Callithrix jacchus: one gene and its partners. The protein of the gene in region 1 purifies or fractionates together with the protein of each later gene. This does not show direct contact. Links are inferred from orthologs where the notes say so. Each region holds a gene or a part of one and is shown in the gene's direction. Other genes may lie near its edges.

Evidence for each region.
Region 2: the proteins of AURKB (region 1) and G3BP2 purify together in Homo sapiens (affinity purification with mass spectrometry; 3 studies listed by BioGRID and IntAct, with this or other methods). This does not show direct contact. The link is inferred for Callithrix jacchus from reciprocal best matches to the Homo sapiens genes AURKB and G3BP2.
Region 3: the proteins of AURKB (region 1) and PPP6C purify together in Homo sapiens (affinity purification with mass spectrometry, with the first as the bait; 3 studies listed by BioGRID). This does not show direct contact. The link is inferred for Callithrix jacchus from reciprocal best matches to the Homo sapiens genes AURKB and PPP6C.
Region 4: the proteins of AURKB (region 1) and SEC16A purify together in Homo sapiens (affinity purification with mass spectrometry; 3 studies listed by BioGRID and IntAct, with this or other methods). This does not show direct contact. The link is inferred for Callithrix jacchus from reciprocal best matches to the Homo sapiens genes AURKB and SEC16A.

What each region holds. Positions count from the first base shown.
Region 1 is NC_133506.1:74,672,902-74,680,929, reverse strand, and holds the start of AURKB (aurora kinase B), read left to right. Parts: upstream 1-2,929; 5' UTR 2,930-3,082; intron 3,083-3,252; 5' UTR 3,253-3,277; coding exon 3,278-3,325; intron 3,326-5,034; coding exon 5,035-5,137; intron 5,138-5,249; coding exon 5,250-5,304; intron 5,305-5,509; coding exon 5,510-5,701; intron 5,702-5,977; coding exon 5,978-6,116; intron 6,117-6,213; coding exon 6,214-6,362; intron 6,363-7,478; coding exon 7,479-7,653; intron 7,654-7,828; coding exon 7,829-8,002; 3' UTR 8,003-8,028. UniProt on the Homo sapiens protein: Serine/threonine-protein kinase component of the chromosomal passenger complex (CPC), a complex that acts as a key regulator of mitosis.
Region 2 is NC_133504.1:122,416,091-122,424,227, forward strand, and holds the start of G3BP2 (ras GTPase-activating protein-binding protein 2), read left to right. Parts: upstream 1-2,984; 5' UTR 2,985-3,123; intron 3,124-3,222; exon of another isoform or gene 3,223-3,342; intron 3,343-5,433; exon of another isoform or gene 5,434-5,436; 5' UTR 5,437-5,495; intron 5,496-8,137. Other genes in the region: USO1 (general vesicular transport factor p115), read right to left, coding at 2,516-2,581.
Region 3 is NC_133502.1:173,750,629-173,758,213, reverse strand, and holds part of PPP6C (serine/threonine-protein phosphatase 6 catalytic subunit), read left to right. Parts: intron 1-1,191; coding exon 1,192-1,333; intron 1,334-5,378; coding exon 5,379-5,458; intron 5,459-5,619; coding exon 5,620-5,829; intron 5,830-6,081; coding exon of another isoform or gene 6,082-6,279; exon of another isoform or gene 6,280-7,585.
Region 4 is NC_133502.1:184,921,880-184,929,464, reverse strand, and holds part of SEC16A (protein transport protein Sec16A), read left to right. Parts: intron 1-15; coding exon 16-127; intron 128-339; coding exon 340-445; intron 446-2,150; coding exon 2,151-2,291; intron 2,292-3,519; coding exon 3,520-3,633; intron 3,634-3,888; coding exon 3,889-4,081; intron 4,082-4,650; coding exon 4,651-4,896; intron 4,897-5,728; coding exon 5,729-5,811; intron 5,812-6,882; coding exon 6,883-7,038; intron 7,039-7,585. UniProt on the Homo sapiens protein: Acts as a molecular scaffold that plays a key role in the organization of the endoplasmic reticulum exit sites (ERES), also known as transitional endoplasmic reticulum (tER).

The sequences.
Region 1 (8,028 bases):
TGCTGCAGAACTGATTGCTTGCTTGGTGGTGGGGTAATATCCTCATACATGCGGTCACAGAAGTCTTCTGTGTTGATTGCTGTGGTGTGAGGGCAGAGGAAAAATTGGGTCTTTTTTTGTTTTCTGTGTGTTTTTTTTTTTTTTCAACAGACCCTCGGCTGTATTGCCCAGGCTGGAGTGTAGTGGCGTGATCTCAGCTCACTGCAACACTCTCAGGTTCAATCAATTCTTATGTCTCAGCCTCCTGAGTAGCTGGGATTATAGGCACCCACCACCACAACTGGCTAATTCTTAGTATTTTAGTAGAGATGGGGTTTCACCACGTTGCCCAGGAGGGTCTTGAACTCCTGAGCTGAGGCAATCCACCTTGCTGTGGCTCCCGAAGTGCTAGGATTACAGGCATGAGCCATTGCGCCCAGCCCATTTTTTGTTTTTATTGAGACAGGGTGTCACTTTAATGCTGGGCTGGAGTGCACAGCCATGGCTCACCACAGCCTTGACCTCCAAGCTCAGGTGATCCTCCTGCCTCAGCCTCCTAAGTAGCTTGTACTAGAGGCACATACTACCATATTAGACTAATTTTTTTGTATTTTCTGTAGAGATTGGGTTCACCCAGTCTGATCTTAAACTCCTTGGCTCAAGGGATACACCTGCCTTGACCTCCCAAAGTGGTGGGATTGCAGGTGTGAGCTGCCATGCCCAGCCATAGTTTGTTTTTTCTGCACGGTATGCTTTTGACAGTAAACAGCATTTAGAATGCATTTGGGAAGGAGCTCCATTGTTCATGTAAGAAAAGTGCTGATATAGGCATGCAGAGGCTCCGCAATGCCATTAAGTCCTGGAGCCCTTTCCAGGCCTCTCTTCTGCCTTCTGCTATATTAGCCTTCAATGTCAAGCTGCTACCTTCAGTGGCACTAGAAGCAGCAATGAGGGCTGTGTGCTTTCTTGCTCACTTCCAGAAATCCCTTCCTCCATACCTTGCCCTTTAGATATTTTCGTCTATATCCTTTGTAATACACTTTATGATAAACCAGTAAATGTTTCCTTGAGTTGCCTAGCATTCTGAGCAAGAATCCTGATTCCCACTAGCTGGCCCACTTAAGTCACATGCTTATCCCTGATCCAATGACCATGATCTAGAATAAAAGGTGTTGATTAGTATAAGTCACAATTGGGGATCATTTCAGGACCTGGAATGGAGTCAGTTTCCTTCTCAGATCCTCAAAACTCTAAGTGCTTTCAGAAGTGGGAATAGCTGGGAGAATGATGCTGGCTAGATAACCACAATGGCCATTTACACAGGTCTTCATCAAGCTAGGGATTTGGGGTTGTTAACAACGGAAACTACTAAAGAAACGTGACTGCATAGACTGGAGAGACAGGCGGTCCCCTAAAGGAAAAATAGAGTGTTTGAAGAAAGGAGAAGAATGCTGGACAATACATACTTAACAAATATCCATTGGTTATTTCATAGAAGGCCCCAAAATTAATTAAATAATTTATTTATTTATAAAATGGAGTCTCACTCTGTCACCTGACTGGAGTGCAGTGATGTGATCTCCGCTCACTGCAACCCCCTGGCGATTCTCCTGCCTTAGCCTCCCGAGTAGCTGGGACTATAGGCCTGCGCCACCACGCCCAGCTAATTTTTGTGTTTTTAGTACAGATGGGGTTTCACCATGTTGGCCAGGATAGTCTCGATCTCTTGACCTTGTGATCTGCCTGCCTCGTTCTCCCAAAGTGCTGGGATTACAGGCATGAGCCACCGCACCCAGCCAAAATGTATTTATTTAACCCAGACTTCTCCCAGGAATGTCAGGACTTTTAAGAATGACCTAGTAATGACACAAGAATAAACACACAGGCAAATGAACAAACAACAGAATAGAAAGTCTAGAAATAGACACAAGTAAATATGCTAATGTTATATATCAAGGGCAGCATTTAAATTCTGTTGGGGCAGTTTGTTTAACAAATGTTGTTGACATACTGGCTCTCCATCGGGCAGAAGTTAGACCCCAGCTCACACATGCATAAGAATAAATTCCAGTTATATTAAAGATTTAAATTTTTTTTTTTTTTTGAGACGGAGTTTCGCTGTTGTTACCCAGACTGGAGTGCAATGGCACGATCTCGGCTCACTGCAACCTCCGCCTCCTGGGTTCAAGCAATTCTCCTGCCTCAGCCTCCCGAGTAGCTGGGACTACAGGCACGCACCACCATGCCCAGCTAATTTTTTGTATTTTTAGTAGAGACGGGGTTTCACCATGTTGACCAGGATGGTCTCGATCTCTCGACCTCGTGATCCACCCTCCTCGGCCTCCCAAAATGCTGGGATTATAGGCGTGAGCCACCCCGCCCGGCCAAAGATTTAATTTTTTTTTTAATAAAAAGAAGAGGGGTGGGTGCGTTGGCTCACGCCTGTAATCCCAGCATTATGGAAAGCCGAGGCGGGTGGATCATTTGAGGACAGGAGTTCGAGATCTGATTAGCCAACACAGCGAAAACCGGTCTCTACGAAAAATATAAAAATTAGCCAGGCGTGGTGGCGGGCGCCGGTAATCCCAGCTACTCGGTCGGCTGAGGCACGAAAATCGCTTGGACCCGGGAGGCGGAGGTTGCAGTGAGCCGAGATCGCACCAAAGTACTCCAGCCTGTGCAACAGAGCAAGACTGTGTCTCAAAAAAAAGAGAAAAGTTAAAAAAAGGAAAAGAAATGAAAAAGCTAATTCACTGGGGAAACTTGGGGAAACTTTCTAAGCTGGTAGCCGAGCGTGCGACCTTCTCATTCCGCCTCTTCCATTGGGTTCCCATGACTTACGTCGCAGGATATGTAGCCAATGGGAACTAGGCATGGGTGAAGAGCTCACCAATGGGGTAGGGGCGGGAGATTTGAAAGGTCCTGGATCAGGGCGCGGCGTGACTGATTCAGTTGCTTGCGGGAGGCAGGGAGAGTAGCAGTGCCTTGGGCTCCAGGTGAGCTGGCCTCCTTTCACAGGCCTTGCGCCGGGAGTGGGCAGATGATCGGGCAGGTCGGAGGTCCACCGGGCTGGCCCGCGCGCACTCCGCAAGGCTGGAAGGAGGTAGGGACGATAGCAGGGTGGGGGAGGTGAGACCAGCGCCTGGACTGGGGCTAGTGTGCTGACCTGGTCCTTTTTACGAGCCCAGGCTAGCGCTTTCGACCCGATCGCTCCAACCCCTCCCTCTCTTTCTTTTTCTCTGCTTCTCACGGCTGTTTCCCTTCTCCGCCCAGCTCTTCTCCGCCTTTCCCTCTAAGGATGGCCCAGAAGGAGAACGCCTACCCCTGGCCCTACGGCCGGCAGACGGTAAGGCCCTTCCCTCCATCCCCGCCCCCACCTTGTCCCTGCACGGCGAGTTCCTGCTGGGAGACTTGAGATCCTGCAGTGAGCAATCCTTTAAGCACCTTCTTCCCCGTTCTGCTCCAAAGTACGGGTCCCAAGAATTTGGTGACAGAACCCAGAATGGTCATTTATAGCCACATCCTGCCAACTTTAATCTGACAAGCCAGTGACTCCCAACCGGTGAGGACCCCTGGGGCTGAGCCTGCTCATCACATACCAATGATATCTGGGACTGAGTAGGCAGGGCCTGGCCTTCACAACCCATGTGCTGAAAAAATAAACTAGGCAGCAAATAGAAAGGACTCTAAAAGGCTATAAGGTTACTGTTGAAACAGTCCAGGGCAAGTCTAAATTAATAATTTGGAATTTATTTTAATGACTAAGGTGAGGTAAGGATCTAAATGGACTTATTTCCCAATTGTCCAGACAGATTTCATTGAAGGGTCTCCCCTGATTTTTTATTATATATAAATTCCCACATAGGTGTGGGTCTATTTCTGGACTGTATTTTATTCAACTTGGTTATTTGTAGATCTATACCAATATCACTTTGGGGAACAGGTTTTTAGAGGCACTGGGACTTTCTTCTCTTGGCTGAAGAAGACAGAAGGGGCCCTGCACAGGTTTTGCTCCCTGCTTGTGGAGCTCGGGCTTCCTAAAGAGTCTGTGTCCTTGTGCATCAGCTCCCTCCCTCATGGAGCACTGAATGAGGCTGTCAGGAATGGAGTCTGGATGAGAAACCACTGTCACTTTTACCTTGGTCACTCCTAAAAGTGCATCTATTACTTTGAGAAGTTGAAAGTGAGGCTGGGCACGGTGGCTCACGCCTGTAATCCCAGCACTTTGGGAGGCTAAGGCAGGTAGATCATGAGAACAAGATATCGAGACCATCCTGGCCAACATGGTGAAACCCTGTCTCTACTAAAAGTACAAAAATTAGCTGGGCATGGTAGTGGGCACCTTGTAGTCCTAGCTACTCGGAAGGTTAAGGCGGGAGAATCGCTTGAACCTGGGAGGCGGAGGTTGCAGTGAGCTTAGATTGCACCACTGCACTCCATCCTGGGCAACAGAATGAGACTCTGTCTCAAAAAAAAAAAAAAAAAAAAAAGAAGTTGAAAGTGAGAAGTGGTCTAGGCCCATCAGAGTAGCTCTTAGTGTCCCTAAAGCCTGTTCTTGCAAAGCTGTAAATCCAGGTTGTTGCTATAACATTCAAGGCCTCAAGGATCTTATCTAAGCCTTAATAAACTAAACTTTAAGGAAACTCTGAGAATACCTCTGTGCTAACCCCCTTGAATTATAGGTGTTTATTGACCCAGCCCTCTACTATGCTGTGAGTGAGGGGCTGGATGAATGACTGTGGTGTTATGGACAGATTGGACACCTTCATGCCTGTGAAGGTGGTGTGGGCCAGGGACAAAGAGGTGAAATGTTAGCTGTTGGGGTGAGTCCTTTGCCCCTTATCTTAGGCCTACTTAGGTTTATTAATAATCCATTTTAATATGATACTACAAGCAGAGCCTGGGAAGCAAAACTGTCATGTCAGTGTTTCTATTTGAATTGGGGGTGGGCGGGTGACTGGCTTTTTAGCAGAGGGCTGAAATGCTGCTTGCAGCACATTCCACCCCGGTCATCAAACAAAGGCACCCTCAGAGCTACCCCCTGCTCCTTCTCAGACTCCATCTGGCCTGAGCACCCTGCCCCAGCGAGTCCTCCGGAAAGAGCCTGCCACCCCATCTGCACTTGTCCTCATGAGCCGCTCCAATGTCCAGCCCACAGGTAACTGGGACAAGGGGGAGAGGACTGACTTGGGGAGATGAGAGTCTATGGGAGGGTGTAGGGAGGAGAATGTCATCCCTGTTCTCATTCAACTTACCTGTTCTCTCCTTAGCTGCCCCTGGCCAGAAGGTGGTGGAGAATAGCAGCGGGACACCCAACGTCTTAACGTAAGTGCCCCAAGCCTTGGGGTGGACAGGGATGAGGGGGGCAGTGAACATGCAGGAAGTCGGGGAGGTAAAATCTAAGGGCAGGAGGAGTAGGAATGAAGAAAAATGGGGCTGAGGACAGGATGGGATGAGGAAGCAGGGAAAAAGCAAACATCTTAGATAACCAAAACTGGTTCTGAGCTGCCTTCCCCCACTTTCTAAGCAGGCGGTCCTTCACAATTGATGACTTTGAGATTGGGCGTCCTCTGGGCAAAGGCAAGTTTGGAAACGTGTACTTGGCTCGGGAGAAGAAAAGCCATTTCATCGTGGCACTCAAGGTCCTCTTCAAGTCCCAGATAGAGAAGGAGGGTGTGGAGCATCAGCTGCGCAGAGAGATCGAAATCCAGGCCCACCTGCAGTATGGCTTGATGCCCCCTGAGCCAAAGCCCCTCTGCTCCCTCACCCCCAGATTCAGCCCCACCTCATCCAGATTGCTCTCTCTGTAACTATGGCCAGTGAGCCCCATGTAGCTCTTAGTCCTGGTCAGAGCCTTGAATCCAGAAATCTGCCTCCAGTTTCCCCTTATCACTTCCAGCCCTGGTGTCCCTGGCCACATCTGACCCTAGTTTTCTCCTATCATCTTTCCCAGCTCTTTTATGCCTTTGGCCTGAGGCCTCCTCATTTCTTCCCCCAGGCATCCCAACATCCTGCGGCTGTACAACTACTTTTATGACCGGAGGAGGATCTACTTGATTCTAGAGTATGCTCCCCGTGGGGAGCTCTACAAGGAGTTGCAGAAGAACCGCACATTTGATGAGCAGCGAACAGCCACGGTCCGGGAGCGTGGGCACCTAGGGCGCCGGTAGGGGCTTGTGCTGCTTGTAGCTGGAGGTCCATCTTTGTCTGACTGCCTGTCATTGGCCCTTCCAGATCATGGAGGAGTTGGCAGATGCTCTAATGTACTGCCATGGGAAGAAGGTGATTCACAGAGACATAAAGCCAGAGAATCTGCTCTTAGGGCTCAAGGGAGAGCTGAAGATTGCTGACTTCGGCTGGTCTGTGCACGCACCCTCCCTGAGGTATGGTGGCCTGGGAGGCCAGAGGTGTGAGGCTGGGCCATTAAAACCTCTCCAGGAACAAGTTTCACGTTAGCTCAGTTGGTTAGAGTGTGGTGCTAATAATGCCAAGGTTGCAGTTTTGGTATCTGTACAGGCCAGTGGCCAAACTTTGGCCAGGCACGGTGACTCACACCTGTAATCCCAGCACTTTGGGAGGCCAAGGTGGTTGGATCACTTGAGGCCAGAAGTTCAAGACTGGCGGACCTGCCTGGCCAACATGGCAAAACCCCCTCTCTGCTAAAAATAGACATGGTGGTACACACTTGTAATCCCAGCTGTTCAGGAGGCTGGCACATGAGAATCGCTTGAACCCGGGAGGTAGAGGTTGCAGTGAGTCAAGATCGCCCCACTGCACTCCAGCCTGGACTTTGTCTCAAAAAAGCCCAGGAGCAGCAGCCTTTTTTTCTTCCATACCTTTTTTTTCATGGTTTCATAGTATCACATGGTAGAGATACAACCTGATTTATTTAAGCAGAACATGCCTGATGGGCATTAGAGATGTCTCCAATTATTTCTTTAACTCCAAAATGAACATTGCCCACACATTGGATTATCTTTTTTTTTTTTTTGAGATGGAGTCAAAAACACAAAACCAGAAAGATATGGAGTCTTGCTCTGTCATCCAGGCTGGAGTGCAGTGGCACAATCTTGGCTCACTGCAATCTCCGCCTCCCCAGTAGCTGAGACTACAGGCATGTGTCAACACATCCGGCTAACTTTTTTTGTATTTTTAGTAGAGAGTTTCACTGTGTTAGCCAGGATGGTCTCCATCTCCTGACCTCCTGATCCGCCCACGTTGGCCTCCCAAAGTGTAGGGATTACAGGCATGAGCCACTGTGCCTGGCCTTAGATTATGTTAAGATATATCCGACAGTGTAGAATTGCTGGGGCTATGTGCAGGCTTAACTCTGGGGCTTCGGGATATATCATCATCCCACCCCCACCCCAGTAACCCTGCCTGGCTGGACCTCTCCCGTGGTACATCCTGTGGTCTTTTGGCTCCCTGCTGTCAGGCAGCAGGGAAAGGAGAGATTGTATGTCACTGGGACCCCTGCCCACACCGCTTATCCCTCCCAGGAGGAAGACAATGTGTGGTACCCTGGACTACCTGCCCCCTGAGATGATTGAGGGGCGCACGCACAACGAGAAGGTGGATCTGTGGTGCATTGGAGTACTTTGCTACGAGCTGCTGGTGGGGAACCCACCCTTTGAAAGTGCATCACACAATGAGACCTATCGGCGCATCGTCAAGGTGGGAGGGTGGCCTGGGCTTCATGCCAGATGCAGAGGCCAGGGGCTGGGGGGCTGAGGGTGTGTGGGCAGAGTGTATTTGCATGGCCCTAAGTAACTCCAAACAGAATGGGTAGTCAAGGAAGATGTAGCCAGGATGAAACTAATGCAGCCCTTCCATCTCTTCATATCTGCAGGTGGACCTAAAGTTTCCCGCTTCAGTGCCCACGGGAGCCCAGGACCTCATCTCCAAGTTGCTCAGGCATAACCCCTCAGAACGGCTGCCCCTGGCCCAGGTCTCAGCCCACCCTTGGGTCCAGGCCAACTCTCGGAGGGTGCTGCCTCCCTCTGCCCTTCAATCTGTCGCCTGATGGTCCTTGTCATTCACTCGGGTGTG
Region 2 (8,137 bases), on another chromosome or scaffold:
ATTTTGCAGAAATGGAAAAAAACTACAAAATAATAAATGATAATATAGAAGCTAGAGGTTCAAAGCTCTGGTAACTCAAATATCCTGGCCAGACTAAATCACCAATTAAAACATCTAATACTGTACTGTATTCCACTGATGCTCTATAAATACTTTTAAATTAGTAATCCATGACCCCTTATGCCTGTCTTACTTCCTGACGGAATGAAATTGTGAAAGAAGTTTTATTCATATTGCACCTAGAGTAATTATCTTCAGAATACAAATTACTTTACTGGGGAGGTGATTAAAAAGAAAAAAAATAGAAGACAAATTATTTTTCCAATTTTGAATGTACATACTCAAAGTTAGGCCAGAACAAGAAAGTACCCTCACTTTAAGTTAATATATGCAACATACACAAGTGATACTCAAGCTTCATTTCAAATTGTGATATAAAAACTATGCTATTCCACCCACAATGGCAAGATCAAAATGTTCTAGCTCCAACTTTTCAACATTGTGCAAGCTGCTTTAGTGCTCGGTGCCTATAAAATGAAGAGGCTCTATCTGGGACCGTCTAGCGATAAAACCCTATATACTGTGAATTCTATTCCATCTTTTCTACAGAAGTCACCGTGATAAGGGCAATAATAACAAAAACAGGAATGGGTATTCTTCGTTCAACCTACACAGAGTAAAAATTACCCCTCGTTATACATCTACTAAGTACCAGGCTCTTTCTATTTATTTCACTTAATCTTCATTACATCCTGAAAAGCAGGCATTTTCCTTATTTTACTTACAGGGTATCAGCTATCTCTCACATATCCAATCCAATCAGGGTGGAAAGCCAGGATTGAAATCAAGGTCTAACTCCACAACGTAAGCTGTAATAAACCATATTTCATAACCTGGTGTCACAAACACAAATATCAGACAAAGTAAGTGGTGGGCTGTGATTATGGCATGACTATGGTAACCCAGACAGAACATGGTCTTCTAGTAGGATAGCTCAGGCTGACTTGTTGCCAAGTGGGAATGGATGAGTGAAGCCAAATGTGTGCCTGTGTGTATGTGACAGAGAGACAGAAAAGTGATTTTCAAATGAAGGAAACTGATTTACCAACTTTCATCTTATGCTTTAAACAATTGTAACCAGATCTGTGCAATATTTTTTTTAAGATGGAATCTTTTCATGTTGCCCAGGCTAGTCTCAAACTCCTGGGCTCAAGCGATCCGCCTTGGCTTAGCATCCCCAGTAGCCAGGATTATAGACCTGTGTCACTGTGACCACCTGCAATTAATTTTAATATTATAAGTTCTCAAAAAGTATTGAAACACAGGCATGAGCAATAGAGTCTAGCCTTTCAAGGTACTTCTTGGTTGAATCTTGGCTCTATTACTAGCAGTGTGACATGGGTCAAGTTACTTCACCTCTCTAAGCCTCATTTTTTTGACTTTCAAAGTGAGAATACTGTCACCTATCCTGCAGGGCAGTTAACGATTAAAGTAGAGTGTGGAATATAAAGAGCTCAACACAGTACCGAGTACAAGGTAAATGAAAGCTACTATATTATTCCTCAGGATCCCATGAACAAAGTTATGTACATAAATACTACCCAAAGTTAGCCATTAAAATGTTATACTTGGTCACTTTTATGTATATCTAAAATGATTCTCAAATAAAAAGTTTACTTCAAAAAGTCGTACACCTTCGATTCCATTAAACAATAACCAAAGTTCAAAATAAGTATATTCTAAACCTAGAATCTAAGCAACTATTCAATACTGTTTTCAGCGGCTAACCATTAAAAAAAAAATAACGCTGCAAATAATGTCCTTACGAGTTCAGGCAGAAAGCGGTGAATGTGTCCCTAAAGCAGTTTGAGCGGGAAATATCCCTACTACGTCCAAGGTAGCATTTGCCAAATGATATATATTTGGGTCAGCTCGAAAAAACGGGATCGGAACAAATGACACCAGGCGTTCTGATGGGACAGGAGCAGGTGGATTTGTGCCCCAAAGAATATCGTTTTATTCTTAGCCACATGCTCTCACCAACAGCTGGGTTTTAAACCATGCAATCTTCTCCAACGCCCCAGTTTCAGACTGCGAGGGAGGGAGCAGGACTTCAGGCTCGTCTCGGCCAGTGCAGACACAGGCGAAAGGGAAGGAGGGACGGGCCCACAGCCCCGAGGGGCGTGGGAGGCAGTTCGCGCCAGCACTGTCCCGATCCGTCCCTTCCCGGGAGGTACCACCCGCGGACCACTCTCCTAGCCCAAGCTTCGGGGCCTACGCAGCTTGTGGGGCGCGGCTGCCGTCAGTCCGGCCAAGCCGCAGTGATGGGGACTACGATGGGGGCTTGAGGAAGTAACTCTGGGATTTCAAGAGCGGAAGGAGGGCAAAGGTGGAGGCGGCTTGTGGATCTCCCTTCCATGGTGGAACGCGGGAGGTGACCTTCGGGTCTCCGAGTGCTCCCTCCCTGTCCCTGCCCGGACCCCTTCCCAAGTCCCAGACCCGCCGCTCCTCTCACCGTCTCCGCTTCTGTGTGCTGGGGTCCGGCACTCTGACCCCCCATTACCCCACGGAGGAAATTCATCTTGCCTTTCAGCCACCTGGTTTATCGGCCCCTCCGGGAAAGAAACGAAGACAACTTCCCCGCCTTCCGCAGGGCCTGACCCCCAATTCCGCACTCCACACTCTCCTACCGCATCCACCACCGCCTCCAACTCGGCGGCCGATCTAGCCCCTTAAGCCCGGAAACAGCCGCCAGCAGCGGCCAAGATGCGCATGCGCGGGGACGTGGCATTACGTGGCGGCTCGAAGGTTGAAGGCAAAAGGGGAGCGGAGGCGAGAGAAACCTCGTAGCTACGTTCCGCCGGAGCCCCGCCCACTGCGTAGGCCCTGCCTCCCTCCTCAGGACTCGCTTCTACCCCCGCCCTTCGCGGATTGTTCCCGCTGGCCGCAGCCACCCACGTGGTCGAAGCCCGGCCCTGCAGGGTGGAGAGGATTTGGTTACGCGTTTCAACTTGCACGCAGGGTGTTTAATTGCTCCCGAGCGGGACTTACTGCAAGCTATCAAATCTGAGGTCTTATTCTTTTTGAGTCGAAAGTGAAATTTTCCTTCGGCCGACGTGACAGGTAAGGGGTTCCGGCCCCTGGGAGGGTTCGTTTGGTTTGACGGTTTAGTAGTACCAGCGTTGTGGCTTTCTTATCCCGGTAAATTGCATTTCTTTACAGGGCTTTGTTTGGTGGTAAAAAGGGTACTAGACGCCCCTCATTCCACTGCCACTGGAGGGCGCATTTCTCAGCTCTTGCTCTTCAAACCTGCTCAAAGGAATTCCTAGATCTAAACACCAGGTACACCTCAATTTTCAAGTGTCGTCAGAAGGAAACCCACCAAACTCTACATTTAGCTTACTAGAGAAATACATTGTTCTGCTGTGTCAGTTTGGCGAGTAACATAATGTTTTGTTATTAACTATTAACCCCTGCGTTTTCAGTGTTTTTTTTTAACCTGAAAAAAATGTCATTTTCTCAAATTGATATGCCTGTTTCTCCGGCAGTGAGGTTGTCAGTACACATGCTTCTGGAATAATCTTGTAAATTTCTTGAGGCTAAAAAGCACAGGGTCTAGTTAGTTTACTGACTCATGCACCTCTCCTCTTGGATTCCCCTCAGGTCTCAGATTCAGCCTTTAAAATTGAACTCATCTTCCCCTGCCTCCCTTAAAGAAAAAAAGTCAATACGCTGCTTCTACTGTGTGCATGCCGTGCTCAGTAGTACCACTGTCCAAATAAGTGCCTAAGCTAGACAGAGGAGGCTGGGAAGAATCTTAGACTCTGGCTTTCCACCCACGCATGTCCAATCAATAGTCACGTCCTATCATTTTTATATAAATGACTATTTCTCAGATAGGTCCTCTGCTCTCCATTCTCTATGCCTATGATATAGATTATGTTCTCATCATTTCTCGTTGAGATTACAGCAACAGCCTCCTAACTAGTTTGTCTGCATTCAGCCCTGGCTTCCTTCAGAAAGTCCAATCTCCAGTCCTCCCTTGGGAGAGACTAACAACAACAAAACATCTGTTTATGTCAGTCTTTTAAAAATCCTTCAGTTGTTTCCCCTTTCTCTCTAAAATAAAGTCCAAACTCCTTAGTTTGTCATACAGGCCTATTGTGATTGGCTTCTGACTACTTTTTCAGCTTCTGCCTCCCCCACATACTCTGGACATTTTTCTCAGACGTGGATACGCCCTTCCCCTCCCTTCTCTTCATCAAGCAAACTCCTGCTAATTCCTTAAGACTCAACTTTGGCATCATTCTTGAAAGCTTTCCCTAAAATCTAAGTATATATCTATATGCTAGCACTTTGCAGTTATTAATACTATATATGGTGGACATTCAATAAACGCTTGTTAAACCAAACTGTTAAGGGCAGGACTATGTTTATTCATTTTATATCTCTGTTGCTTACCACTGTCTCATAAAAGGTGATATTGATGGATAAATGAATAAATCATTGAAAGAATATATGAAAATTATGCTAAGGAGGAGGTTCCCTTTTTTTAATCTGTAAAGTGGAATTGTAGGGAACACATCATAGGCAATGTGTTTCCTAGTGCCAACATTTTAAGCCTGTGCAACTTGGAGAATGGTGGGGTCATACTGCCAAAAATACTGTGCACTAAGCATTGTCCTCTGCTTGAAAACTATATACACTTGACATTTTACTGTAGTCATTTTCCATGGGAGCATTTTGTTGCAGCCTAAAAAAGGTAACCAGTAAATACTCAGCATTTTTATTACCAAGAAATGCTCTAAAGAACTTCACTCAAGCCCCTAAGCCTCACCCATCCCTAAACCTCACTCTACCCCATCATCAGGAATGAGGCTCACAGATGGAGTGGGCCACAGCTGTCTGTTACTCCCCTTATTTAGTAATTAAAAAGAGTGCCTTGACATTTTAGCAAAGTTGTTTAAAGGCACCAGCCCTATCAAATGCCTTGTTTTGTTTTGTTTTGAGACGGAGTTTTGCCCTTGTTGCCCAAGTTGGAGTGCAATGGTGTGATCTCGGCTCACTGCAACCTCCGCCTCCTGGGTTCAAGCAATTCTCCTGCCTCAGTCTCCTGAGTAGCTGGGTTTATAGGCATGCACCACCATGCCCGGCTAATTTTTTTTGTATTTTTAGTAGAGACGGTGTTTCTCCATGTTGGTCAAGCTGTTCTCGATCTGCCGACCTCAGGTGATCCGCCCACCTTGGCCTCCTAAAGTGCTGGGATTACAAATGTCAGCCACTGTGCCTGGCCCTGTTTTGTTTTAAACTTTGGTGGGTACAGTAGGTTACTACACTTCAGTGAGGAAAGTTGGTTACTATACTTTAATGAGTATAGTAGTAACAGCTTACTATGAGTTTTCCCTGCATTTGACTTGTTTTCTTCCCCAACAGCAGCCCCTGAACAGGAGGGATAGACAGTTGGGTGCCGATGCGCTGAAGGTGAGATCCCCAAGGTATTGTCCCTACAGAACAACCATGAAATGGACTCCTTATTTCAGAAGAAGAGAGTTACATATTAATCCACTTCTATGATTTGTAGAGAAAAGTCGGGGACTGTGTTATATTCCTGTTTGCACCCTTTAATCATCTAGTATAATTTTTTTTAACATGGTAGATGTTCAGGAACTACCTGACTTAATAAAGGAAGAGAAATCATGAACAAATTGTGACCCCCTGACTTGCATGGTTACATTTCTGGCTTTCATAAATCTAAGCATTCAGGATAAGAGTGCCGTGAATCATTAAAATACATATAATCAAAAAGAAAACGAATGATTCTTCTTTTTCTAAGCCAAACCTGACAATAGATCAGTGAACAAGATTCATTGGTTTGAAATCCATTTTTAAAATTGCTTTCTTTTTTTCCTATCGTTTCTTACTTTCTAGTGGAAAACTCAGCAAAAGCAATGAAATCTAATTGCATAAGATTGTTTTTTTACTTGGGGTAGTAGTGAGGTGGAATACTGTCAATGCCTGCTTAGGAGGATATATAGCAATGATCATTTGTATTTGAAATATATATAGGTTTTTATTTATTTATTATTTTGCTACATTATAAGTCCCTTCAGTATCATAAGTAGGTTTTTAAAGACGTGGCTCATGCCTGTAATCCCAGCACTTTGGGAAGCCAAGGTGGGAGGATCACTTAAGCTCAGGAGTTTGAGACCAGCCTGGGCAATGTGGCAAAACCCCATCTCTACAAAAAATAAAATATTAGCTGAGCATGGTGGCACATGCCTGCAGTCCCAGCCTGTAGTCCCACTTACTTGGGAGGCTGTGGGAAGACCTCTTGAGCCTGGGAGATCAAGGCTGCAGTGAACCATGATTGTGTCACTGCATTCCAGCTGGGATCATAGAATGAGACCCTGTCTCAAAATAAAAAAAAAAAGACTAGTTGCTAGAAAAATCTACAAACATTGTTGATATAATTAGGTATTATGCATTAACCAAACAACATGTAGCAAAATAAATTGATGATTTCAATCTATAGGAAGCAGCACTGAAAAGCCATGACTAATCAATAACCGTATCAGACACATAGTGCTCTTTATTGGCCAGGCTCTGTTCAGAGTTCTTTATAGAAAATAATTTGCTTAATTCTCACAACAACCCTATGAGGTGGGTAGGTTATTAGCCCTATTTTGCAGATGGGAAAACAGGTTAAGAGGGTAACTTGACCAATGTCATAGAGGATAATCTGGCTCCAAAGCCTGCGTTCTTATGTAGTACCTTATCCTACTTTTCTAGACGCAAGACAATGATCATGCACTAAGTAGAAAGGTGGCCTGTCAGGTCCATATATAATCTGGCCCTTATATCATCTCCTGTGCCACATTCCATCTGATTCACTCCTCTCCAGCCACATCACCTGGCTTCCTTGATGTTTCTGAGACCTTCTCCCCTCCTTATGCCCTTTGCAATTGTTCTTTCCTGTATTTGGAATGCTTGCTACTTCATCCACATAGACGTAAGGGTCACTCTTCACTGTCTTTAAGTTTGCTTAAATGTTAATAGATCTTTCCTGAATAGTCTAAGTTGCAACCTCCTCATACTCCTTTTTTCTCTGGTCTGCTTATTTTCCTCTGTAGCACTTAATCAGTCTGATATATTATTCTCCCATACACACTATGTTCCCATATTTCATGAGATCTGCTGTGCTATTAAGTGTACCCTAGATAAAGAAAAAAAAAAACTTGCCAAAAGATCTGAATTTCAGGCAGAAAATGGGGGGAAAACATGCATTGTAGATTTATTGAAATACAGTATATAATTTACATATTTTTCTTGTTTATTGTCTATTTACCCCCACCAGAAGACTACCCTCATCAGGGCAAAGATTTTAGTTCTTTTGTAAATTGCTTTATCCCTAGTGCTTAGTACAGCATCTGGCACCAAATAAAAACTTGGTAATTCTTTAATGGATGAATTCCCCAATTGAGGAAGTTCCTAATATTGGCTTATATGCATAGGAGTAGAAATTCTGCATTGTTGCTAAGCATTGCAGAGCACCCAGATTTCCTCAGTAGAGTGTGAATTAGGGTTCTTAGATCCTATTAACATGCTAGTTTTAGTTTATGACTATTTTGGCAGTCTTTAATGACTAGCTTAGTAGTTACTTTTTATCATATATAAAGATAAATCTTTGTGAAAGAAAGGACTTTCATATTTTTTTTTTTTTGAGACGGAGTTTCGCTCTTGTTATCCAGGCTGGAGTGCAATGGCGCAATCTCGGCTCACCGCAACCTCCGCCTCCTGGGTTCAGGCAATTCTCCTGCCTCAGCCTCCTGAGTACCTGGGATTACAGGCACGTGCCACCATGCCCAGCTAATTTTTTGTACCTTTAGTAGATGGGGTTTCACCATGTTGACCAGGATGGTCTCAATATCTTGACCTCGTGATCCATCTGCCTCGGCCTCCCAAAGTGCTGGGATTACAGGCTTGAGCCACCGCGCCTGGCCCAGGACTTATATTTTTACAATCAGATCTCAGCTCATAAAGGAACCATCTTAGTATCCCCGTGGCCAACCCAGCTTGCTTTGAGATGCACTACACTAATAACAGTGGTTTTTCTTTTCTTTTAGGTAATACATTCATA
Region 3 (7,585 bases), on another chromosome or scaffold:
GTTCTGTTATTTATTCAAACTTTTTGAGCATTCGTTTTGATCTCTTACTAATCTATGGATGGATAAATATACACACATACACATTTGCTATTAACGTATTTGTTTGCTTTTCTTTTGGAATGTAATGTTACTGTTGAATTTTTTCTGGATCCTTCTCTCATCTTTCCTTCTGAAAGTTTCTGGGTCACTTTCCTTTTTTTTTTTTTGAGAGGGAGTCTTGCTCTGTTGCCAGGCTGGGGTGCAGTGGCGTGATCTCAGCTCACTGCAACCTCTGCCTCACAGGTTCAAGTAATTCTCCTGCCTCAGCCTCCCAAGTAGCTGGTGCCACCACACCCAGCTAATTTTTGTATTTTATTTGAGACGGGGTTTCACCATGTTGGCCAGGATGGTCTCTATCTCTTGACCTCATGATCTGCCTGCCTTGGCCTCACAAAGTGCTGGGATTACAGGCGTGAGCCACTGCGCCCGGCCACTTATCTATTCTTTCAGGTGTTTTCTTATTGCTGTAATATTGACCCAAGTGGGAAGTGTAAATAATATATTATCATATATGGTTGTTAAATGCAAAAGTGAACCTAGAACGCTATCATAATTATGGTATTTGCTTTTACAAAACAAAATTTTTTTTTCTTCAAGTAGGCAGCTCTTCTGATACAGTTAAAATGATCCTTAAAATAGAAAATTATTTTAGCTGGACACAACGGTACACACTTGTAGTCCCAGCTACTTGGGAGGCGGAGGTGAGAGGATTGATCGTTTAAGCTCAGGAGTTCTAGATCAACCTGGGCAACATAGTAAGACCCCGTCTCTTAAGAAAAAAAAAAAAAAGATTGAATTTTTAAAAATTAAATTACTTAAAAAATACTGGTTCACAGATGACCAGATTAACGATTGTAGGTAATAGAGGATTGAAAAAATGGTGTTTTTATCAGGGAACATTCTTGAGACAATGGCACGGCAGATTATTATAGGTTTCCCTGGAATAAAAAATCTTGTTTCTATGAACATTTAGTAGAAACAGTTTGTTTACTTCTATTTTAATTTTTTGTTAAAATCAGATTTTCAAATGATTCAGTATGTAACTATTGTAGTTATTCTGGGCTCAGTCTATGAATTTGTGCAGTTTGATATAATTTGAAAAGAATATTGTGGCCGTTATATTGTTTGTAACTGTAAACTTTTACTTTACAGGGTGATTTTGTAGACAGAGGTTACTATAGTTTGGAGACCTTCACTTACCTTCTTGCATTAAAGGCTAAATGGCCTGATCGTATTACACTTTTGCGAGGAAATCATGAGAGTAGACAGATAACACAGGTGTATGGATTTTATGGTAAGACCTTCTATTTTTCTGATTCTGAATATTATTTTACTTTCCTCTTTGGAAAACAAAGCTACACGCCATACACGTGCTTTTTGTGTATTATTTTCCACATGTCCTCACTCCTTTACTCCTCTACTCCCAACTAATTGAAAATCTTATGCTGAAGAGAAGACCGCTGTCAACTTTTTGTTGTGCATCTTTCTAGATCTGTGCCTCAAAGTATAGTCCTTGGTTTACCTTGTTGGAATCACCTGGGTTCTCATTAAAAATGTAGATTGTGGCTGGGCGTGGTGGCCCACGCCTGTAATCCCAGCACTTTGGGAGACTGAGGTGGGTGAATCATGAGACCAGGAAATTGAGACCATCCTGGCCAACGGGGTGAAACCCCATCTTTTCTAAAAATACAAAAATTAGCTGGGTGTGGTGGTGCGTGCCTGTAATCCCAGCCGCTCGGAAGGCTGAAGCAGGAGAATCACTTGAATTGGGAGATAGAGATTGCAGTGAGTCGGGGTCGTGCCGCCGCACTCTAGCCTGGTGACAGAGCGAAACTCCGCCTCAAAAAAAAAAAAAAAAAAAAAAAGTAGATTGCTGGGCCTAACCAAAGATTTACTAATCGAAATATTTTGGAGTAGGAATCTAGAATCTGCCGAAGGTGAATGTTCTGCACAAATTTGAGAGTCCATTCTCATTTATTTTTTTTTTGTGTGTGTATGTATTTATGTGTGTTTATATATATACAAACATACACACACTAAAATGGGGTCATACCTGATTTTTTCACCTCATTAATGTTATTTTTATGGCTGCATCATATACCATATGGATGTACCATAATTGATGTATCAGTCTGTCCTCTGTCATGGGACATTAGAGTTGTTTTTAAGTTGTTGTTATACATCCTTTTACATATATCTCTGTGTGCTCACTCCAGAGAATGCTAGGTCCTCGGGGATCAGAAGCAGAATTTAGTCATAAAAAGCAAAATAGCTGCTTCTCTTAAAACTTTTGTTTGGTTAAAAGTTAAAAAGAGGCTGGGCACGGTGGCTCACACCTATAATCCCATCACTTTGGGAGGCCGAGGCTGGTGGATCACAAGGTTAAGAGATCGAGACCATCCTGGTCAACAAGGTGAAACCTCTTCTCTACTAAAAATACAAAAATTAGCTGGGCATGGTGGTGCGCACCTGTAGTTCCAGCTACTTGGGAGGCTGAGGCAGGAGAATTGCTTGAACCCAGGAGGCGGAGGTTGCAGTGAGCCGAGATTGTGCCATTGCACTCCAGTCTGGGTAACAACAGCGAAACTCTGTCTCAAAAAAAAAAAAAAAAGAAAGAAAGTTAAAAAGAGAGAGAGAGCATATTAGGAAGCCCCTTGAAGGAAGTATAACTGTTAAGATTATGAATTTGGATTTTCCTTGAGCACAATTCAGGCAGATATTGAGAGATTTGGAAACATTAATTTCAGAACCCTTTAGTTTTAAATTTTATATTTTGAATTATCTTCTGTCATTGTAAAGATAGGCTGGGCTGGGCTCAGTGGCTCACCCCTGTAATCCCAGCACTTTGGGAAGCCGAGGCAGGCGGATCACGATGGCAGGAGATCAAGACCATCCTGGCCAACATGGTAAAACCTTGTCTCTATTAAAAATACAAAAATTAGCTGGGCATGGTAGCGCTTGCCTGTAGTCCCAGCTACTTGGGAGGCTGAGGCAGGAGAATTGCTTGAACCAGAAGGTGGAGGTTGCAGTTTGCTGATATTGTGCCATTGCACTCTAGCCTGGGTGACAGAGTGAGACTCCGTCTCAAAACACAACACAATACAACAAAACAAGATAGGCTGAACTCTCTTACACTTCAGTTTGTCTGCCATTATCAATTAGATAAATTTTTAAATTTTATTGTTTTCATATAACTTAATAATTGTAAAGTTAAATAATTAATATTTGTTTCCTTTCTACAAGTTACTTTTTATTTTCATTCACAAAATAAACACCATTTGAAATAAAACTTCTGGATTATTTTGCAAAATAGTATGTTGGGTGACATACTATGATGTTAGCTCAGTGAAAACAATGCTAAAACTAATGTTACAAAAACACACACACACACACACACACATAACTAATGCTACATGTATAATATATAAAGTACATACTGTTATATATGACTAATATATGACATGTTTTTATATATGACTTTTTATGTATATAATTGTACCCCAGAATTCATCCAGCATTTGTCAGTGTAGGGCAAAAGGAGAAAAACTGGGGAGAGGAAGGAGGACATTTTAATCAAGGTGCCTTCACTGAGGAAAAAGACAGCAACACAAAATCTAGTATTGAACTTTCTTGTTCCCAAAGCTCTGTTCATGTAGTGAGTTTTTATGGTTTTGTTTAATAAAATGAAACTTAACTCCTCAGGAAGAAGATAATTTTAGTTATAGGACTTATATTGATTTTGAGGAGTCAAATATCTCTATATGACTTTACAGTGGGCCTTCAGTTCACACTGATAAACACATACTGGGCAGTTACTATTAAACCAATTTTAAGATCACTGCCTGCAACCTGAGCTCATTGTTGGGGCTCTCTTATGGCAAATTCACATAAGAATCTTGCTTCACATAGAGATATAATTGAGAAAATCTTGAAGATTGGCCATAACCTGCAGACTTCTTTCCAATAGCATTTTCATCTGTGCTTAAAGGCAATAGTGGTATGTCAGTTTTTGGGTTTTTTTTCCCTAAAATTTTCAGAAGAAGCCAAAGTGCAGAGCTTCCATGGCGTTAACAGAAGTGTGTACCCTATTAACTATGTAGACAATTAGGGTACAGTGGTTCACATCTGTAATCTCAGCACTTTGGGAGGCTGAGGTGGGAGGATTGCTTGAGCTCAGGAGTTCAGGACCAGCCTGGACAACATAGGGAGACTCCTATCTCTACTGGGAATAAAATTATCCAGGTGTGGTGGCACATGCCTGTAGTTCTAGCTGTTCGGGAAGCTGAGGTGGTAGAATCGCTTGAGCCCAGGTGGTTGAGGTTGCAGTGAGCTGTCATCACACCACTGCTGATTGCGCTACTGTATTCCAACTTGGGCGACAGAGTGAGACCTTGTCTCAAAAACAAAAAAACTATGTAGGCAGCAGAAGGATGTTTAACTGAGAATTTATAAGAGCCTGATTGGCAATCTGTCCTTAGCCTGCAGAAGCTCAAGTGTTTGATCTACTGAAGCTCAAGTGTTTAGTTGTACAATTTGCAGAAAATCTCAGAAGAGACAACTTACTCCTGAGAAGGTTGAGTTAGAAATTGCTCATGCTCCTATAACTAAGGGTCCTCTAATTCATTTGATTTGATTATCCTGCTAGAACAGTCTCCTTTAATAAATTTGTTTGTTTACCAGAATTGCCTAATATTAACATAACTGTCAAACATTTGCTTCAGGTTGTGTGAAATTAGTATTTAGCTCTTCTGATTATAGCATTTTGGTTAATAATTTCAGCTGCGTCTTTGTCCATTCCAGGAATGAAGAGCAGTACTAAAACCTTAGGAAATATAGTCATGTGCCACATAATGACATTTCAGTTGATGATGGGCTGCATATACGTCAGTGGTCCTATAAGATATAACAGAGCTGAAAAATTCCTATTGCACAAATACTTATTATGTTACTGTTTCCTTATGTTATTTAGTACAATTACATGCTGCACAAGTTTATAGCGTAGGAGCAATAGGCTATATGATATTGCCTAGGTGTGTAGTAGGCTAGCCATCTAAGTTTATGTAAGGACATGCTATGATGTTCACACGGCGATGCAGTCACCTAACAAAGCATTTTTCAGAATGTATCCCCATGGTTAAGGGACATATAACTATATATAGTTAGTCACTAGTGTTCTTTCGGCTCTATGTGGAGGTCCTGCCAGGACTAAATATGTGTCATAACTTGTTATCCTAGTTTAAGCTGAATTTCTGTTGTACTGAAGGCTGCTGTAGTATTGGATATATTGTTTATTTTTATTGGCAGATTCATTAATTAAATCTCTTCTGTTTCTTTCACAGATGAGTGCCAAACCAAATATGGAAATGCTAATGCCTGGAGATACTGTACCAAAGTTTTTGACATGCTCACTGTAGCAGCTGTAAGTTTCTATTTTTGAAGCCTCATCTATGTTTCTGCCAATAACACATTGCATATTTTTATCTAGTTGTCATCTCAGTTATATTGATATCTTTAGTATTCATCGATGCATTTAGATATGCCTTAGGTTATATGTTCAACTCTGTTATCTTTTTTTGCTAGTTAATAGATGAGCAGATTTTGTGTGTCCATGGTGGTTTATCTCCGGATATCAAAACACTGGATCAAATTCGAACCATCGAACGGAATCAGGAAATTCCTCATAAAGGAGCATTTTGTGATCTGGTTTGGTCTGATCCTGAAGATGTGGATACTTGGGCTATCAGTCCCCGAGGAGCGGGTTGGCTTTTTGGAGCAAAGGTCACAAATGAGGTAAAGCCAACATTTTTGGAAAAGTAATTTGTGGATTGCTAATGGGATGCATAGAGAACTATGGTGGCCCTAGATAACAAACTTGTAGTCTACTTTACTCAAAATATGGTGGCTATGGATATTAAAGTTCTAGTTTAAGTATTAATGTATGTCTTTCTTTAGTGGTTAAATAAGATCTCACAGTGAAAACACCTACTCCGGCATCCACTTGGTAATAACATATAAAATAAATGTTCCTTTTCTATTTTTGAGATGGAGTTTTGCTCTGTTACCCAGGCTGGAGTGCGATGGTGTGATCTTGGCTCACTGGAACCTCTGCCTCCCAGGTTCAAGCAGTTCTGCCTCAGCCTCCCAGGTATCTGGGACCCCAGGCATGTGCCACCATGCCCAGCTAAGATTTGTATTTTTAGTAGAGATAGGGTTTCACCCTGTTGCCCAGGCTGGTCTTGAACTCCTGACTTCAGGTTATCCACCTGCCTTGGACTCCCAAAGTGCTGGGATTACAAGCGTGAGCCCCGTGCCTGGCCTACATCAGTCTTTTTTTTAACAGAAATATTAGTTCATTTGAAAGGCCAAATAGATCCAAAGAAGGAAGATGAAAATTAAATACTTAAATTGATCAAAAGGTACTACCGTATTACCTAAAACCTACTGTTGCAGTGGCAATAGGCTAAGGAAGATTAAGCTACAGCAAATCATCTAATGTGAATGTTAGCAATTACATATCAGGAAGCACATTTGCTTTCCGGAAGACTGTGGTACAGTGTTCATTTAGGCCCAAGAGGATATTTGGCCAGGAAAGGATCAAGATGGATAAAGGTAATAGGTACAAAAGAGAATCCAAGCCACATAGTCAAGCAGATCAGGCTTCTTCCTCCCAAGAAACATTTGCTTCGCTGTGCTGCCTCCCACCTCAGTCACCTCCCTATTCCATGGCTGCTCAAGCCAAGCTGCCTGCTCCTGCCTTACAGGGTGCTCAGCCACTGGGACTAGGTTTGGGGTTGCCCAGGCCTTTTGCTGTAATTTAGCATAGACCTTGGGGAGACCTGGTCACATATGGGTTGGCTTTGTTGCTGGTTGTTCCTGATAAGGAAAACCCTGAAGCATTCACGTGCAAAGTGGTCTGAGCTTCTCCAATCACACCCCCACACAACATCCTCAAAAGTCTGAAATCTTGCAACAGCTGAGTTGTAGTTAAAGCTGAAGGGTTCACAAAATCATGAAGGAAGCCAGGATGAGACAATGCAGGTAGGAAGTCCCAGCAGTTAATCTCAATCTGTCTTTTCCCATTTTGGATAAGCTAATTTATACCTGATATGGGATGTAGAAAGCTACACTGGAACAAGCTGGGTCTTCTGCTGTTATTTGTCTTCCAATACCAGGGGAAAACAAGAGGTGGGGAGGATTTTATTCTTAAAAAGCCTCAGAAGTTACTCTATTATAAAGGGACATGACTGAATAGGTAAGAAATGGATTCTTCATTGTGAGTTTTCTTGATGGCTTCTGCAAGGATCATAAAGATGTCAATCACCTGTATATTGGAGCAGTGCTTCATCTTGTCCTCCTGGGGTATGGTATTGGTGACTACTACTGCTTTAAAGCACGCACTGTTGATGCGAGAAATAGCCGGACCAGAGAAGATTCCATGAGTCAAGATAGTATAAACTGGTGGCTCCAGCTGAGAGAAGTTTGTCAGCTGCACGGCAGATTGTTCCATAAGTGTCAGCCATGTCATCCACAAGGGTGGCCACCTAAT
Region 4 (7,585 bases), on another chromosome or scaffold:
TTCTTCTCTCCCCAGCTTCCAAGGGCCTCTTAGATGCTGCACACTTTTGCTACCTTATGGCCCAGGTTGGATTTGGGGTTTATACAAAGAAAACTACAAAACTTGTCTTAATCGGATCAAATCACAGGTAAAGGATCAAGTCAGTGTAGTCCTGTAAGTTTTCCTTTAAAAGTTAAAAAAAAAACAAAACAAATCTTTCTCTAGTTAATTTAGAAATGGCCAGAACCGTGGTTTTGTTTGCCTCATGGTGGGACAGACTTCTGGGTGATTTTCTCCAAGGTTGGTTGTGACAATAATGGTCCATTTTTCTCAAGTCAAAGTAATTCACTTTCTCTGTAGTTTACCATTCTTAAAGTTTGCGACCAATGAAGCGATCCAGAGGACGGAGGCCTATGAGTACGCCCAGTCCCTGGGGGCCCAGACCTGCTCCCTGCCCACTTTCCAGGTAAGAGGTGCTACCAGCCTGCTGCAGCGCAGGCGCACAGTCTAAAAAGCTTTTGGTTACTTAGATGGTTGGATTTTTTTTTTTTTTTGAGTTGGAGTCTCTCTCTGTCGCCCAGGTTGGAATGCAATGGCACAATCTCGGCTCACTGCAACCTCCGCCTCCCGGGTTCAAGCAATTCTCCTGCCTCAGCCTCCCTGCAGGTTCACGCCACCATGCCCAGCTAATTTTTTTTTTGTTGTATTTTGGTAGAGACAGGGTTTCACCATGTTGGCCAGGATGGTCTCGATCTCTTAACCTCATGATCCACCCCCACTCAGCCTCCCAAAGTGCTGGGATTACAGGCATGAGCCACAATGCCCAGCAGATTTTTTGAATTCTTATGGAAAAAATGGTGTGATTTTTTTTTTTTGAGGGGAGGATGTTGAAAAGACATTTGATCTAGAATGCTAAGAAACTGCATCGCATTGAATTGGGTATTTCCGTTTGCATTTGATTTCAGGACTTTCATGAGCCTGTTTTGTTCGTTTGTTTTTAAGGAGACAGGATCTCAGTCCTTTGCCCAGCCTGGAGTCCGCTGGGGTGATCACTCCCAGGCTCAAGTGACTCACCTCAGCCTCCAGAGTGGCTGAGTCTACAGGCATGCAACACTGTGACCCACTAAGTTTTTTACTTTTTGTAGAAAAAAACGGTCTTGCTTAAACTCCTGGGCTCAAGCAGCCCTCCTCCCTCAGCCTCCCAAAGTGTTGGGATTACAGGTGTGAGCCACCACGCCCAGCCCATATGAGCCATTTTTAATATTTGAGGGAGGTATTCTCTGATGCACTGTGGGGGTGGTGTGTATAAAATATGTAGAGAGAGAGGCAGGACTCAGTGGCTCATGCCTATAATCCCAGCACTTTGGGAGGCCAAGGTGGGTGGATCACCTGAGCTCAGGAACCAGAGACCAGCCTGGGCAACCCAGCCAGGCGTGGCAGCATGCGCTGGTTCCCAGCTACTCAGAGGCTGAGGTGAAAGGATAGCGTGAGCCCAGGAGATTGAGGCTGCAGTGAGCTGTGATTGTGATCACTCCAGCCAGGGTGACAAAGTAAGACCCTGTCAAAAAAGAAAAAAAAATACGGGCCGGGTGCGGTGGCTCACGCCTGTAATCCCAGCACTTTGGGAGGCCGAGGTGGGTGGATCACAAGGTCGAGATCGAGACCACCCCGGTCAACATGGTGAAACCCCATCTCTACTAAAAATACAAAAAGTTAGCTGGGCATAGTGGCATATGCCTGTAATCTCAGCTACTCAGGAGGCTGAGGCAGGAGAATTGCCTGAACCCACGAGGTGGAGGTTGCGGTGAGCCGAGATTGCGCCATTGCACTCCAGCCTGGGTTACAAGAGTGAAACTCCGTCTCAAAAAAAAAAAATAGACTCAAATATCTAGAGAACGTCTGTGGAGCAGCTTGCGCTGCCTGAAAGGCGGTGGCCTCAGTGCGCACAGTTACATGAAAGGAACTAGCGGGGAGGCAGAGTGATGTTCTTACCGGCTTAGTCCTTGACTTTGCTCTTGAAATCCCTTGGGAACAGGGACTGGGACTGTGGTCAGCGGGCATGGGGGTGGGAGATGATGATGAGTGACGCGTCCAGAAGAGTCTGCAGCTCACAGGGCAATGCTTGGACGCGGGAGAGCCACGGTATAGCAGGGCTGCGTCTGTCCTTTCAGGTGTTTAAGTTCATCTACTCCTGCCGCCTGGCGGAAATGGGGCTAGCCACGCAAGCCTTCCACTACTGCGAGGCCATCGCGAAGAGCATCCTGACGCAGCCGCACCAGCACTCCCCGGTGCTCATCAGCCAGCTTGTGCAGGTGCTGCCCCTCCCATCCCCCGCAGGCAGGGAAGGAGGGCTTCCAGGGCCCCTGGGCGTCCGGGTGGTGCCCCGAGGGTTCAGACGCGCTTTGTGGTAGGCACTTGGAACCTGCCTCTTGGGTAGGTGAAGATCTTTGAATGGCTTTGTGTTTTGCCTGTTAGTCTGGGGACTGTCAGGCACCATGTGCCAGCACAGAACCTTGGCAGCAAGTTTCACCATCAGAGGAGCTGTCTGTAGGATACTCTTTTTAAGATGGAGTATCACTCTGTCGCACAGGCTGGAGTGCAGTCGTGCAATCTCAGCTCACTGCAAACTCCACCTCCCAGATTCAAGCGATTCTCCTGCCTCAGCCTCCTGAGTAGCTCGGATTACAGGCGCTCACCACCACGCTCAGCTAATTTTTTGTATTTTTAGTAGAGATGAGGTTTCACCATGTTGGCCGGGCTGGTCTTGAACTCCTGATCTCAAGTGATGCATGCATCTGCCTCGGTCTCCCAAAGTGCTGGGATTACAGGCATGACCCACCACGCCCGGCCAGGATATTCTTATTTTGAGGCAACTTAGTCTGGTGGTTGATAGCTTAAGTGTTCAGAATTCAGCAGCCTTTGTTTGAGTCCTGGCTACACCACGCAGACCTTACTTTCTCCCCCTGTAAAACGGAGGCGGCGTGACTGGCAGAGAGTGTGGGAGGCGCCATACTCTCTACTTCTCTTCAGTAGTTGCGTTTGTAAGAATGTGCTCATGGGATACCCAAAAAAACTTATTAAGGACATTTTTAGACCCATTTCAAAGTTGAGAGAATTATTCATGCATCCTTAGGTCCTTACCCCCACATCAGTGTTTAAAACACAAGGCCACACTTGTGTTCTGCCCCCACCCGCACCCTGCTCTGCATTCCCCAGATTCCCGATGAAAGCACACAGATGCTCTCAGGTGAGTCCAGCTTTTTCGGAGTCAGTTCCACATGGTCACGTTGCAGCCTTGGGCCTGGCCTGTCCCAGTGCATGTGGGCGGACAGGTCATCTACAGCAACTTCCCACAGTTGCCCAGCATCCAATGTGCTGGGTGTGTCATTAAGCACATGCTGGAAACGTGTGCAGCTAACTAAACTTCATCTGCACTGTAACACTGCAGGTGCATTGCCCCCAGAGTTGGGGCGTTTTGAAGACGGCTCACTTGCCATCACCTGGTGGTGACAAGGGCCTCTGATTTCTGCCCGTGTCTAGATGGCTTCCCAGTTACGACTCTTTGATCCCCAGCTGAGAGAGAAGCCAGAAGAGGAGTCCTTGACCTCACCTGCCTGGCTGGTTCACCTGCAGCAGGTGGAGCGGCAGATCAAGGTACAGCCTTGGTTCAGAGTGGCACAGAGGTGTTTGGCAAGGTGGTTTCTGTCCCTGTCATTTTCACACTGACGGTACCTATTTAAAGACAGCGAAACTATAGATGTGTGCCTACTAGAGTTCCCTAATTCCCCAGAAAAGGCGTATGTGCCCCCTATTGTCCTGAGTTGGGGACACAGCAGTGTGGTGGTGGTGGGCAGGTGCCGGCTGCAGTGCCATAGGCTACTTGCATAGGTGGGCTTTGTTCTCCCTCAGGAGGGGGCCATGGTGTGGCCTCAGGACGGAGCCTTCCCACAGCAGTGTCCTGGCACGCCAAGCTCCGAGGTGGAGCAGTTGGAGGGGCCAGGAGTCAGTCAGCCGGTGGCCCTGGGGATCGCCAACCCACTGCTGGCAGTGCCTGCACCGAGCCCTGAGCACTCGAGCCCAAGCGTGCTGCTGCTGCCCTCAGGTAAGCCCGGGCTTTCTGCTGGCTCACCCCACTTCGTCCTCAGATGCCATTACCACTCCCTGGTTGATTGCTCTCCTTAGCACTTTCTCTTCTCACTCAGTTTATCTGTCCCCATCCCCATGGGAACCCAGTATTTTTGTTCTTGACACATCCAGGGCCCAGCATAGTACTGACAGGCAGCAGCCCTCCCTGGTTTTATGTCAAGTTAGAGGAATGAATGAATGAGTGGCCTGTTTTGACCCCTGGCCATGGAGGAGAGGACTCAAATGGAGCATAGCTTTGGGCCAGGTGGCCACTGTAGGCTTGCATCTAGGCCGGGCTGTGCCCTGGAGCCTGCGTGGTGCTCAGTGACTACACAGGCGTTCATCCTGCCCCACTCCTAGAAAGGAAGCAAATGTTCCGCTTTTTTCCAAACCACTGATGGTTCAGATGGGATGGTGGCTTCAGGTCCTTTGGCTTTACTGGATCTCCCTTATAAAAGCAATGTGCCTGTGCAAACTAACCTGTCCGAAATGTGTCTAGCGTCAGCTCCTTCCAGTGACCTTCTCTTCTCCACTGTTCCCATGCAGCTCCGCCAACGCTCCCTGATGGCCCATTGGCCAGTCCTGCCGGGGTGCCAATGTTCCCAGTGTCACCGCCCCTGGGGCCCCTCGAGCCGGGTCCTGGCTGTGTGACTGCAGGGTCTGCACTTGGCTTCCCAGATCCCTCCAGGCCTGATCCTGCAACTCTGGGCCTGGGGCCTGGCCTGCCATCTGGCGTGCCACCTCTCCAGGAAAGGAGACACCTGCTTCAGGAAGCCAGGAGCCCAGACCCAGGTGGGGCTGCACAGATGCTGTCTTGAGAGCAGAAGCAGTGTTGGGTATGGGGTTTGTGGGGATTGGTGGAAGAGATGGAATTTATTTGACCTTGTAACAAGTTAATTACTTGTCTTAACGAGACCAAAACTCCTGGCAGTTAGTAGACTGGACGGCTTAGGAGTCTCGCTGTGACAGCAGGGTTAGTAGTAGTTTCTTTTGTAAGTCGGCTTTTCATGATGCGAGGCTTAAATGGCTGTTCAGGGCAGGGCACGGTGGCTGTGGCTGTCCCAGGAGTTGTCTTCAGATGGTCCTTCTAAACGCCTGGTAACACGCACGGGTCAGGTTATGAACTTCTGTCTGGAAGTCAGTTTGGTAGATCTTGTCCCTGGTCTGTGTCTATATTGACAAAGCAAAACATAAGCCTACCTTTAAAGAATAAAAGTTGGCTGGGCACAGTGACTCACGCCTCTAATCTCAGCGCTTGTGAGGGGATCACCTGAGGTCAGGAGTTTGAGACCATCCTGGCCAACATGGTGAAACCTTGTCTCTAGTGAAAATACAAAAATTAGCCTGGAGTGGTGGTGCGTGCCTGTAGTCCCAGTTACTCAGGACGCTGAGGCCAGAGAATGGCTTGAACCTGGGAGGTAGAGGTTGTAGTCAGCCGAGATCGAGCCGCTGCACTCCAGCCTGGTGACAGAGCGAGGCTCCATCTCAAAAAAAGAGAAGTCACACTGTGTGGTGGTAGCCGGGTGGGAAGGCAGCGCCTCGGTCTGGGCGCCAAACACGTCCTGCCTCCTGTGTTCCCGTCCGGCAGCACTAAGGTCTGACTTGTTCTCTTTCCCGTTGACAGGGTCGGTGCCGCAGGATGTGCCTGTTGGAAACTCACTTTCGGAGCTAAGCGAAGAAAATTTTGCTGGAAAATTTGCGAATCTGGTACTTTGTCACATTTTCTTCAACTATTTGTTTTCCATAAAGTTCATCTAGTGGGCACCCAGACTCCTTGTTGAGGTGTAGGTGGGATGATGGTGGCGAGGACTGTGAAATTGTTTCTTAAAGCAAAAGTGCTTCTAAGTAGCTTTCATCCTTCAAATATGAAGAGCTGGTGAAAACACTGGTAGGGAAAGATGAGGAAGAGAGAATTCAGTAGCAGAGAAACAGTTACTTTAAGTAGGAGAAATTCCAAAATACAGTCACATCCCCTGATTAATTTTAATTCTTCTAAAATGGGCACCTTCCCTGATTCACACATCTCTTTCCTTTTTTTTTTTGAGACACAGTCTGGCTGTGTCGCCCAGCTGCCTGGAGTGCAGTGGCGTAATCTCGGCTCACTGCAACCTCTGCCTCCCCAGTTCAAACAGTTTTCCTGCCTTCGGCTCCTGAGTAGCTGGGACTACAGGCATCCGCCAGCACGCCCAGCTAATTTTTGTATTTTTAGTAGAGACTGGGGTTTCACCATGTTGGTCAGGCTGGTCTTCAACTCCTGATCTCATGATCCACCCACCCCGGCCTCCCAAAGTGCTGGCATTACAGGCGTGAGCCACTGTGCCTGGCCATCTGTTTTTCTACAGAATCTCTAATTTTTTTTTCTCACAAGAGGATGTCCTGGAATACAAAAGAATTTTTAACATTTTCACTGGTTTTCCGGAAAGTGAGATTTGTCTGATCAGATGTGTTTGGTATAAATACCTCCCCTATTTACTCTGCTCCTAACCTGGAGGGATGGTTGCTTTTATACAGACTGCATTCTGGAACCTTCTTTACAGATAGTCAGCTCTTCATGGGCCTCCCATCAGCAGGCGGTTACTGTAGCTTGAACTCGAATTAGGTGTTTTACCCTTTACAACATTATGTTCCCAGAAAAGTAAAAATGAGGGTTGAACTATTAAAAACTGGGACTGGAGCCAGGAATAAATATTTGTAAATATCACTGTATCTTTGAGAATGCCCACCACCCACCCTGGCCAGTCTTACCCTCAGTGAGTGCCCACGCTCCACTTCTTCCAGCCCCAAATCTCCAGTGAACGCCCTCATTCGGAGGTCCCCCCAGGGTGGGATCATGCTGACTCGGGTCCGACGCAGCCACCTCTGTCTCTCTCACCTGCTCCTGAAACGAAGAGACACGGACAAGCAACCAAGAAAGAGACAAAGGACACTAAGAAGGTAGTACAGCGCCCACGTGCACCTGGCGGCCGGGAGGGTCTGGGCTGGGGGCATGCTTCCCAGCGCACCATCCTCCTCATTCAACCGCAAGCTTCACCCTTCTGAATCAAACAGCCGAGCTCGTGAAGTGCACATGGCGTGGTGGGTGTCTGTGTATTGGTACCCTCAGATAGCTGCCCACCCAGGTCAGCATAGGGACACGGCCTGGCCCCCAGAGGTCCCCTCTAGGCATTGACTATCAGACACACCCGCAAGGGGCTAGACGGCAGCCACTCCTTTGTCACTGTGGCGTGTGCTTGCCACCGGCTTCCGGATCCTTTCTCCTAGTTGTGGGCGTTGGGACTGCTTTCTGTGTGGGGCTGGAACCAGTCAGGCCCCAGGAGCCTTCCTGCCTGTCTCCTGGGGAATGTGCTTGTATTTCTGAGGCGTGTGCTGGGGAGTGGAGGGCTTAGGTTGCAAGATGAGCCTATGTTCAGCTTTAGGAGACGCTGCTAAGCAGTTGTCCTACATGGCTGGACCAAGTCACACATCCTGCAGTAGAGGACAA